Linked DNA regions of Cricetulus griseus. The protein of the gene in region 3 interacts with the protein of the main gene of each other region in a pairwise test. Links are inferred from orthologs where the notes say so. Each region holds a gene or a part of one and is shown on either strand. Other genes may lie near its edges.

Region 1 (3,652 bases), on a different chromosome or scaffold from region 3:
GGTAGCTCTTCCTGGGTTCTGGCCTCTAACTCTCCTCTGCTGTATCAGAGCTGTGAATAGACAGAACATTTGACCTGCAGACCTGGAGGCCCCTTGCTTCCCTACAGGAAGACCAGTGTGCCAGGCAGTATTCCTACCTGAGTTGTGCAAGTCTGAGTTATTCTTCTGTAACAGGTGCCCTAGAAATTGGAGAGAGAAAACAAATTTTAGGTTGATAGCAAGAGGTTATAAATTAAAAGGCATATTGAGGATGGCAGGCTGAACCTGACCTTTTTCCTAGCTACCCTCATAGCTGAACCACCTCAGATGACATCATTACAGGATATTGTCTCAGTGGGTCTCCTCCACTCCTCAGTTTTGCTGTGTAGTGATACATTGTCTGTAATCTAACAAATAAAGCTTGCCTGAAGATCAGAGTGCAGAGCTAAGCCACTAGTTAGCCACACACCTAGTTAAGAGCTAAGCCACTAGTTAGCCACACACACACACACACACACACACACACACACACACACTAAGTGCCACTAATTAGCCACACACCCAAGCCACTAGTTAGCCGTAGAGGACAAGCAGGGTGGCCACACCTTTAATCTCAGCACTCGGGAGGCAGAGGCAGATGGATCTCTGTTAGTTCAAGGCCACCAAGGGCTACATGAGAGTGAATCAGTCTAAAAGAGAAACAGAGCTCATACCAAGGTGATCTCAGCACTTGGGATCCCATGCCTTTAATCCCAGCACTAGGCAGGAATATAAGACAGGTGGAGACAGGAGTGTAGTGTATTCAGTCTGCAGTCATGCTGAGGACAGAATTACCCCTTTTGGCCCCAAGCCTTGGTAGAAATAAGAACTGTCTCGTGGCTGGCTGCTTTGCTTTTTCTGGTCTTTGGTTTGGTGTCACTCTGATTGGCTACACATAAAATCTAAAACAATTCTGTAAGTTTGTTCTTTATTGGTGTTCACCCACACTGGACCTTCCTCCCTCAGTCCTCCCCCTAAAGAGAGAACTCTTCCTCTTGTATTCTTCACTTTCCCCAAACAGCAGGGTTAGCACACACTTACATCTTTCCATCTCCTGTTTACTCAGGCTGTCCAGGAACGCGCTTTTATCTTTCTTCCCTTCAGTCTTCAGGTTGTCTACGAGGAGAGGGTGAAGGATATAGAGGCAACCAGGACCACACAGTGAATCCCTGATTGCTGATATGGGCAGGGAGAAGTGATATTGGTGTTCCTCTCATAGTCTCAGTGGACCAAGAAGGCAGCCAAACAGGGAGAGCTGCCCTAGGGTCTCCCTGAGGTGGTTGTCCAGTACAGCTCAGTCCAGAACAAAGGTATTAAGAGCCACAAACACGAGCCACTGAATTTTGAATTTTCTAGATACCATTTTGCAATCCTAAAAGATGCTGACACCCAGGAAGCTGATGCAGGAGGATGACAACTTTTGGGCTAGTCCACGGTATGTAGCGAGTTTCAGAGTCTGGGATATTTACACAGTGTCTCAAAAGGAAAGAAAAAGGGGGCTGGAGAGAGGCCTCAGTAGTTAAAAGCACCAGTGGACCCAGTCCGACTACCAGCACCCACTGGAACTCCAACCCCAGGGAGTCTGACAACCTCTTCTGACATCCATGGGCACCAGACAAGCACATGATACATGCATACACAACACCCATACAAATAAAATAAATAGAACTTTAAAAAAGAAATGAATTTAAATAGTGTTTTCTTCAGCTCAGAATGTTAAGAAACACTGTCATTTCAGCTTGTAGGATAAAGGCTTACTGCTACCAGGCACAGTGCTGGGTGCTGGAGTCCCAGATGCTTAGAAGGCTCAAATGGGAAGGCCATTGAACTCTTCCATAAGAGACTACCCTGGACAGTACTTCCGTTTGCTTTTGTTTTCATTATTATATCTTATGTTCTATTTTAATATTAAGCCTTTCAGAGTCAATGTTTATTCTTTACCTGCACTATGTGTGAATGCTGTAATTCTGGTGCCCAGGGGTACATGTGGCCAGCAGCTAACAAATTGGAAACATGCTTCTAGCCCCATGTTCACCACCTAGTAATCAAGGAAAAATTCCCAGAGAAGAAGTGCTTTGGCTTTGGGGCTGTAGCATGAGAAATTTCTGGATAATGATGCTTTGAAACTGCCCAGCTTTCAGCTTAGCTTCTGACAGGCTTAGGGGCTAGCACCAAGAGAGTTCAGGCAGCGTCTGGGGTGATGGAAAGAATCCTGAGGCAGATAAGCACAGGCAGTGGCAGCTACACCTCACCTTTTAATCCCTCCAGGCTTTTTATGATGACTGCATGTCTTGCTATTGCTTCCCTGGTTTTTCTCTCCAGGTCCTCAGGAACTGGGGTTGGATTGAGAAACTTAAATTCCACACTCCTGTGAAGATAATGTTGATCTGAGTGGTGAGTTCAGGGGACAGAGAGTGGGCAGCAAGGGTCTGGGAGGTGGTTTCTGGGGTAGAGCCAGGAAGCTGAGTGTCAGGAGGCCAGGATGGGAATATGGTGAAAATAAAAAAAGCTACTGTGCTGCTGTGGCCAGTTTGGTCTTCCCCATCTGCAGCCTAAGTCATTTATAGCAGAGTTATTGGGGGATGTGAACATATTTGGAAATAGGCTGAATGTTGTATGTGCAAGTGAACCAGAAAGCATGGTACACTGGGACGCCCATCATACCTGCTCAAGTTGTCTATGATGCCCTGGAAGAGAAAGAGAGAACTTATCAGAGCTTGCCAGAGTCACAGGTGCCAAAGAAGGGGTTCAGACTCAGCTAGAAGCAGAGTGAGGACACCCCAGTTTTCCGTCCTTTCTCTCTTCTGCCTGTTGTGTGAACATGCCTTTGTATGCATGTGTGTTTCTGTGTGTGAACATGCCTCTGTTTGCATGTGTGTTTCTGTGTGTGAACATGCCTCTATATATGTGTGTGCCTGTGTGCGTGTGCCTGTGTGTGTGTGTGCCGTGTGCTTGTATGGGTGTGTGTGTCCTAGCTGACCTTGAACTCTAGTGATCTAGGGAACCCTCCTACCTCTGGAGTGCTAGAATTACACGTGTGAGACACTGTGCCCAGCTGTTTGAGACAGTGTCTTGATCTTTGCTCATGTCAGCTTTGGACTAGCAGCAGTCCTCTTACCTCAGTGTCCTGAATTACAGGAGGGGTTTCAGTTCTCAACCTTCCTAATGCTGCTAGCCTTTAATATAGTTCCTTATGTTGTGGTGACCCACCCCCCACACCATAAAATTATTTTCATTGCTACATCATAACTGTAAATCTGATACTCTTATAACTTGGAATGAAAATATCTAATATTTTCCATAGTCTCGGGTGGCCCCTGTGAAAGAGTCAGTGGAACCCGCCCACAAGAGGGATCTAGCCACACAGGTTGAGAACTTCTGGGTTAGGTGAAGAAGAGTAGCAGTTGGTGGATTTGTTCCAGAAGGCAATAAAAAGTAGTAAAGGTCATTAGAGAGAACAGCACACTGTGTCAGAGATAGTATGAGTGGAGCCTTGTGGGGAATGACAGGCTTCCCTTTAAAACCTGGAGTGGAGCTCTATCAAAAGTGCTCACTTAACGTAGGAAAGATAAAGGTCGTGGATTCTATGATGGGGTCGGTGGGAGCCTCAGGGAAATAAATCCCTCAGGAAAGG
Region 2 (3,752 bases), on a different chromosome or scaffold from region 3:
CAGCTTCTGGGAGAAGCCACGGTTGGTGGCTCCTGGTAGGTTGGCCATGTTTCAGTGGATGTTGCCACACCCACGAATATAGGGACAACACAAACTGGACTCAGTGGGTAAACATTTAAAAATAAATAAAAAGAGGAGATGAAGTTGGGATGGGAGTGGAAAGACAGGGATGGACATGGAAGGAGGTAGGGGGAGAAGTAGGGGTGAGTATGACCAAAAAGAACTGTCTGGAGTCTGCCTTCCTTCCTTCCTTCCTTCCTTCCTCCTTCCTTCCTTCCTTCCTTCCTTCCTTCCTTCCTTCCTTCCTTCCTTCCTTCCAACTGTGTTTCTCTGTGTAGCCCTGGATGTCCTGGAACTCATTCTGTAGATGAGGCTGGCCTCCAGCTTAGAGATTTGCCTGCCTCTGACTCCTGAGTGCTCACCATGTTAAATGTTTCACCAGCGTGAAGAGCTACTTACAGGTGAGGAGTTTGTGCGGCTATCTGGGTACAGTGCCAGCTTGGGCAGAGCTGGCTCCTTGGTCTTCTTCTCTGCCCCTTCCAGTAGTCTTGAGGACTTTTGTTTTACTAACCTGTAGCTATGGCCTCTCTGGGGTTATGCCTCTCCTCTCTGTTCTGTTAGGTCTGTGACAATGGAGTCCCTCACCTGGGGCTTGTTAGTGGAGACCAGGTGCCTGGAACCAGTCCTGAGGCAGAGCTCACTTAGGGAGGCAGTATCCCCTGTAACAGTGCAGATAGAGACCTGTGCTGGCCTGGAGCAAACACAATCTAAAACTTGAGCTCCTCCCAGACCATGCCCCACCCTTGATTTGACTCTAGCCTGTCCAGATAGAAAGAGGGCAGCCTGAGACCAGTTAGGATAGGCAGGCTGACTCTGACCCAGGGCTGAGCCAAACAGGGATTGCCTACATGCTAGGGACAGGGATAAGCAGGTGATATCATCCTTGAACATCAGGACAGGCTTGATATGGAAGGAATGTGGTTGGGGTTGCATACTGTCCTGGACAATCTAGCTTTCTACCTTGCAGGCCCCTGTCTGGATTTATCTATCTCTACCCAGAACTGAACCCTGAATAGCTGGATTCCGCCCCCCCCCCATTTTTTTGTCAGTACCTATGATTTGCTTCCAGAGGCTTAGAGGATGCTGTTAGAGGGATCCCCAAGCTCTGCCCCTCCTCCTATTTAGAGATGCTTTCAGCACAGTGGAGTACCGCCTTTGTTAGGCGCCTGCCAGGAGGCCCCATGACACATTCACTGCAGAGAGCACGTGGCCACCACTCTGGCCTCTTTCAGAAAGTGGCACATCCCTGGACACACTACCACATCTGAGCATCTAGTGGTGTCTGCCTGTAGTTAGGAGCAGGGGTCACCACAGCTTCTAGAAAGGGCTGCTAGAGTCAGGAGCTGGAGGTAAGTCACCAGGCACATTCCAGGCTTGGTGATGTTCTCTCCTGAAGACTTGCTCAGAGCTGCTGTTCTCTCCATGGGGCCTGAGGGTAGGGCCAGGGACTTATTCTGTAGCCCAGAACTTAGTCACAGGGAAGATAGCAACAGCCTCACCCAGGAGCAGTACAGATCCCACCGCAGACGGAGCCATGTCTCGGGTCAGGACTGCCTAGATGGGCAGATCTTGGGCCAGTTGCGCCCCCTGTCAGAAGAGGAAGAATCCACTGGAGCTACCTTCCTTGGGGAGCCCGCCTTCCCTGAGATGGATTCAGAGGATCTCCGCCTGGCTTCCTTCTTCGACTGGCCATCCACTGCTGGGATTCAGCCAGAACCATTGGCTGCTGCTGGCTTCTTCCATACAGGTAAGTCTTGGGGTCTTTCTGCTGTGGTCTGGAGGCTAATTAGCACTCTTCCAGGCTGAGAGTTCTGTCCATTCCTGCCCTGAGGGAGGAGCTGATGAAAGGTAGTCCTGTTATTTCTGCCTGGCCAGGGCTTGGGATCTAATGTAGTCAAAAGCCACTATGAGATCATGGGCTTGTGGTGGCCTTGTCCAGAAGGCCACTCAGCAGGTGGTTTCACCTGAATTAGATGGTTCTGTGGATTCCCCATACTACTTCAGGGATCTCCACTGCTATCTGGGAGCCTTGCAGGCTTGGTTATAGAGGTGATTATCCCCTTTCATTCCAGGACAAATGGAGGAACATGTACCTATGGATGCAGTGGTTAGCTTAAACATCCCCTGATTTGTACCCCTGTAGGTAATCCTCCAGGCTTCCCATGTACCAGGCTAGTGCAGGGAAATCCTTTGAGTAGCTGTTTTAGTTACAAACAGACAACTTTAGTTTGGGCTGCTCCTCACTCACGGTAGGGGTCAGGTTCCAGCTTTTTCTCTTTCTGGTTGAGGAAAAAGAGGCAGGGAGACCCACGGAGAGGCTTTGTAAGTAGGAGCATAGCCAGAGAAACTATCTCCGATGAGGCTAGCAAGGGAGGAATTATTTATTTTCCTTGCACTGGTCAGGCAAGAGCCCAAACTGATATAGGGCAACTGGACACTGGTCAGGAAGGGTTAATGGCTGGGACAGTTAGAGCCTCCTTGAAAAGAAATGTTCCTGGGGCCAACATATGTTAGGGGGATTTTGTGGATTGTGGGTGCCTGCTGTGGGAGATGCCTGTAAGTCCTGTTTATAATTTCTGCACAAGGTCATGAAGGACACATCTCCCCATGGTTGGAGGAGGGGCAGAGAGCAGAGATGAGGAAGGCCTGAACCACTAAAACCAAGCCTAATTATAAACCAGTGTGGGAGGGGTCACCTCCTTATCCTGTCACTAGGAGTCCTTTTTGGATGCCCCGAATTTCCCAGGCTACAGATGCTCTAAGCCTTTGGCCCTACCCTACCCCCATGCCCTGAGAGCAACATAAATGCTAGCTCAGCTTTCCAGAATACTCTAGGGCCCTCCTGACACATGACCCAGGCATTGTCTTCATTTGTCTTTGAGACAAGAGAGATGCCCATGTGTGCCTTGCTCCCTCCTTGTCAACCTGCTGGTAGATCCCAGCCCTGCCTGTCCAAGCTCTGATGGCCATGGAGGGACACTCTGGGGATGCCAGCTAGGTGGAGTTACTAGCCATGTGTCTCTGCCATACCCAGGCCAGCAGGACAAGGTGAGATGTTTCTTCTGCTATGGGGGTCTGCAGAGCTGGGAGCATGGGGATGACCCTTGGACAGAGCATGCCCGATGGTTCCCCAGGTAAGGACCAGGTGGACTGATGCAGGTCCCATCAGTGAAAAGGGCCCTAAAGAATTCTGTTCAGCCTTCCCATCTCCCACAGTCCCAGAACATCAGGATCTCTCGAGGGTAGCAGACAACCCCACTCTTCATGGAGCTCTCTCTGGAGGGGCTGCTACAATGGTCATTCTCCCATTGCTATCCTTTTCTAAGTGCTCAGAGCCCATCTCCTGATAGCTTTCCCAGGTCTCCCTAGGGAATATAGCCATGACTATCTGCCATAGGGCATAATGGGTTGCACGGGAACAGAAGGCATGGCTTCCGGGGCTTGAATATGACAGTGGGGTTCTAAGAGTCCAGTCCTGCCTCCTGAGATTTCTTCTCCAGGTGTCAGTTCCTGCTACAGTCAAAAGGAAGGGACTTTGTGGAAAGAATCCAGGCTTGCACCCCCTTGCTTGGCTCCTGGGTAAGTCCATCTGTCCTCAGGACTCAGGTGGGTTGGCAGTCTCTGCTATGTTTACTTATGGCATTGATGGTTTTCCAACAGGACCCATGGGAAGAGCCAGAAGATACAGTCCC
Region 3 (3,429 bases):
ACCTTATTTAGACCTCAACAGGTACTGGCACTCAAATGCTCATACCCAAAGACACACATATATATATAATTTTAAAAATAAGTCCTTTTGTTTTGTTCTTAAAGAACTTAAGGATAAAGAAATTTGGGCCGGGAAGATAGTTCAGCAGCTAAGGACACCGCATAAGCCTGACAAGTTGAATTTGATAACTAAAAGCCTGGCAGTGGTGGCATACACCTTTAATCCCAACACTCAGGAGTCAGAAATAGGTGGATCTGTGACTTTGAGGCCAGCCTGATCTACAAAGCAAGTTCCAGGACAATTTGAGCTACAAAGAGAAACCCTATCTCAAAGGAAAAAAACAAATACAAGAACAGTTTGAAGCCTGAAACTTAGGTAACATGGCTGCTGTGAGGTACCTATGCCCACGCTTAGACATCAAGCAAGTATGTTCGCAAGCACACATACACAGGGACAGTTCTAAAAAATATAAGGATATTCGATAAGAAATGTTTCCCAAAGGAGAAACAAGGAAAACAGTATAAAAATTAAAATGATTACAATCCCAAAAATTCATGAATTCGAATAACATTATGAGTTAAAACATGTTCAATAGCTTAAATCATGGAAAACCTCTGAAATGTAAGTGTTAGGTCATGAGTGAATAACAGTTGATTTGGGTTGTTAGTTTTGAAACAGGGTCTTACTTTTTAACTCTGTCTGGTCTGGAATTTACTTAGTACAGCAGGCTGACCATGAACTCACAGAGGTCCACCTGTGTCTGCCTGCCAATGGCTGGGATTAGAGTACACCTCCACACAGGCAGGATCTGGGGTTCAGAGGTCAAGCACGGTGCTTTGATCATCCAGGGAGTGCATACAATGGAAGGGGAACTACAGTAGGAGCCAATAGCTCTCATTAAAAGTGATTAACAGGCCGGGCACTGGTGGCGCACGCCTTTAGTACCAGCACTCAGGAGGCAGAGGCAGGGAGATCTCTGAGTTCGAGGCCAGCCTGGTCTCCAGAGCGAGTGCCAGGATAGGCTTCAAAGCTACACAGAGAAACCCTGTCTCGAAAAGGAAGGAAAAAAAAAAAAAAAAAGTGAACAACAATGGCCAAAAAGGCAGAGGCAAGTGGATCTTTGTATTTTCAAGAACAGCCAGCCAGGAGGACTGTTACACAGATAAACCATGTCTTAGAGAGACAGAGACAGGGAATCAACTTTAAAAATAGGGAGAGAAGAGGAAAGTATTTCATAAATTGAGAGATGTTTAACAATAAAAATGCTCAGTAAATCAGAATACTTTAAAGTAGAGGTTGGTGAACTAAAACATAGATTTTAACAATTTAAACCTTTCAAACCACAGACAGTGTGACTGGATATCAAAATAAACACATGGTTATGACTCTGTTCCTATAAAATGAGATTGCCCAAACCAGCCAGTGTGAATGTACCTTACCTTACCCTTAGAGGCATTAAAGAAAAGGAAAAAGTTCTCCATTCAACACCCATGAAAACCATTGCAATGCCACTACCATCAGCTCCACTTCTGTGGTGGGAGGTTATTATGATCACCACCAGGAAGAAGCCAGTAAGGTATAGAAAGAGGGTTACAAAAGTGCACAAATGATAAAGTGCATGTGGTAAATGCTAACTGTAGAATCTACACAGGTGCTCACTATGGAATTCAATCATACATAAGGGAAAAGCATCTGTCATGTATCCAATGAAACCATTTCCAAATTTAGTACCAATATAGAATGTTCATATGCTGACATCAAATATTAAAATCCATATACACAGGTCTAAGAAAGTCTTTCAAAAACTTCCTTCTTACCTGATTTGCTACTACTGCATCTTGGGGGTCATCTGGTTCTGCAGCTGCCAACAGTGCTTGCAATGACAATAATACCGTGCGCAGAGTCATTGCTGCTGCCCTAAATTTCAAAATAGGAAAACATACCACTTAAAGGGGGTGCTGAACGACCTAAACAAAGTGTATGTTTTCTGAATTTAAATAAGAGTTAACTAATGTGTGTATAATTGCCATTTTTTTCTTACAATGAGCCTATTTCTTCGATAATTTAAATCACTGTATTCTTATCTGACTTCACTTTTTCTTTTTGTTACTCTTACCTATCTTGTAAGCTTTATCTAATGGTTCCATTTATAATTCATTCTCTTCTTAAACAGAATATTTTAGGTTTTAAGTGTATGAGTGTTTTGTCTCCATGTATGTGTGTGCACCTGAGTGCCTGATGCCCAAGAAGGTCAGAAGAGGGTTCTGGATCCCCTAGAACTCCGAGTTACAGATATCATAAACTGCTGTTTGGGTGCTAGGAACCAAAGCCAAGTCCTCTGCAGGAACGCATGCTCTTACCCACTAAGCAGCCTCTCCAGTCCCTTACCCATATTTCTTAGTAAAGAGATAATTAAAGTTATTAATATTAACATGGGGATTTTGAAAGTTTTATTGTTTTGAATTGTAAGAATATTCATTTATGTGCATATAAGTACAGGTGCCTACAGAAGCCAGAAGCAGCTGATCCCCTCCAGCTGGAACTACACACAATTGTATGTCATCCAACATGGGGATTGGAAATTCAACTTGGGTCCTTCAAAGAGCAGTAATGCCTTTAACCACTGACCCACCTCTCCAGCCACCTCTTTTAATAACACGCTAAATAAAACAAGCAAATAAAGTACCCTTTAGAAGTTCCAAAATAAGTCTGTTATATTCCAAAATAGGACAAATTTTTGTTTAAAGTATCATCACTTGGGGTTGGAGAGATGGTTCACAGTTATGCATGTGTACTGCTTTGGCAGAGAACCTAAGTTTAGGTCCCTACATAAAGGGTTGTGAGTTACACTGAGACGTGTCTCAGACAACAGCAGCAAACACCAAAAAACAGGCTGACCTGCTAAACTAGCATTTAAGACACAGAGTTCTTTTAAAAGCTTTGAAAACACAGCTGGATTGCCGGACATTAGTGGCGCACGCCTTTAGTCCTAGCACTCAGGAGGCAGAGGCCAGCCTGGTCTCCAGAGCCAAGTGCCAGGATAGACTCCAAAGATACACAGAGAAACCCTGTCTCGAAAACAAAACAAAACAAAACAACCACAAAGGTGGGTAGTACTAGCCTTTACTCTAAAGATCACTGTAGGCAGAGGCAGGCAAGAGTTCAAGACCAGCTTGGCCCACAGTTTTAGCACCTCAGCTACACAGATGCTGTCCTAAAACAAAACCTTTAAAAACAGCTACATAGTTCTATATCCTAGCTGACAAAACAAACCATGTTTTCTTTTTCCTCCCCCCACCTAGACCTAGGTGTTCAATTTCCTAAGAGCATCAATGTTAATTTTCCACCAAGAGCTGTAATACTAAATTTTAGCACAGAAGTTGATAAGATGTCTAAGTGGATAAAAACACTCATGACACCAGCCTCAAG

Evidence for each region.
Region 1: the proteins of Ube2k (region 3) and Trim31 interact in binary tests that used the Homo sapiens proteins (3 or more experiments, as listed by UniProt). The link is inferred for Cricetulus griseus from reciprocal best matches to the Homo sapiens genes UBE2K and TRIM31.
Region 2: the proteins of Ube2k (region 3) and Birc7 interact in binary tests that used the Homo sapiens proteins (3 or more experiments, as listed by UniProt). The link is inferred for Cricetulus griseus from reciprocal best matches to the Homo sapiens genes UBE2K and BIRC7.

What each region holds. Positions count from the first base shown.
Region 1 is NW_023276806.1:228,838,658-228,842,309, forward strand, and holds part of Trim31 (E3 ubiquitin-protein ligase TRIM31), read right to left. Parts: intron 2,706-3,652; coding exon 2,683-2,705; intron 2,387-2,682; coding exon 2,271-2,386; intron 1,135-2,270; coding exon 1,060-1,134; intron 180-1,059; coding exon 138-179; intron 1-137.
Region 2 is NC_048599.1:975,524-979,275, reverse strand, and holds the start of Birc7 (baculoviral IAP repeat-containing protein 7), read left to right. Parts: upstream 1-1,375; 5' UTR 1,376-1,440; coding exon 1,441-1,807; intron 1,808-3,094; coding exon 3,095-3,194; intron 3,195-3,560; coding exon 3,561-3,639; intron 3,640-3,720; coding exon 3,721-3,752.
Region 3 is NW_023276807.1:132,628,313-132,631,741, reverse strand, and holds part of Ube2k (ubiquitin-conjugating enzyme E2 K), read right to left. Parts: intron 1,918-3,429; coding exon 1,818-1,917; intron 1-1,817. UniProt on the Homo sapiens protein: Accepts ubiquitin from the E1 complex and catalyzes its covalent attachment to other proteins. In vitro, in the presence or in the absence of BRCA1-BARD1 E3 ubiquitin-protein ligase complex, catalyzes the synthesis of 'Lys-48'-linked polyubiquitin chains.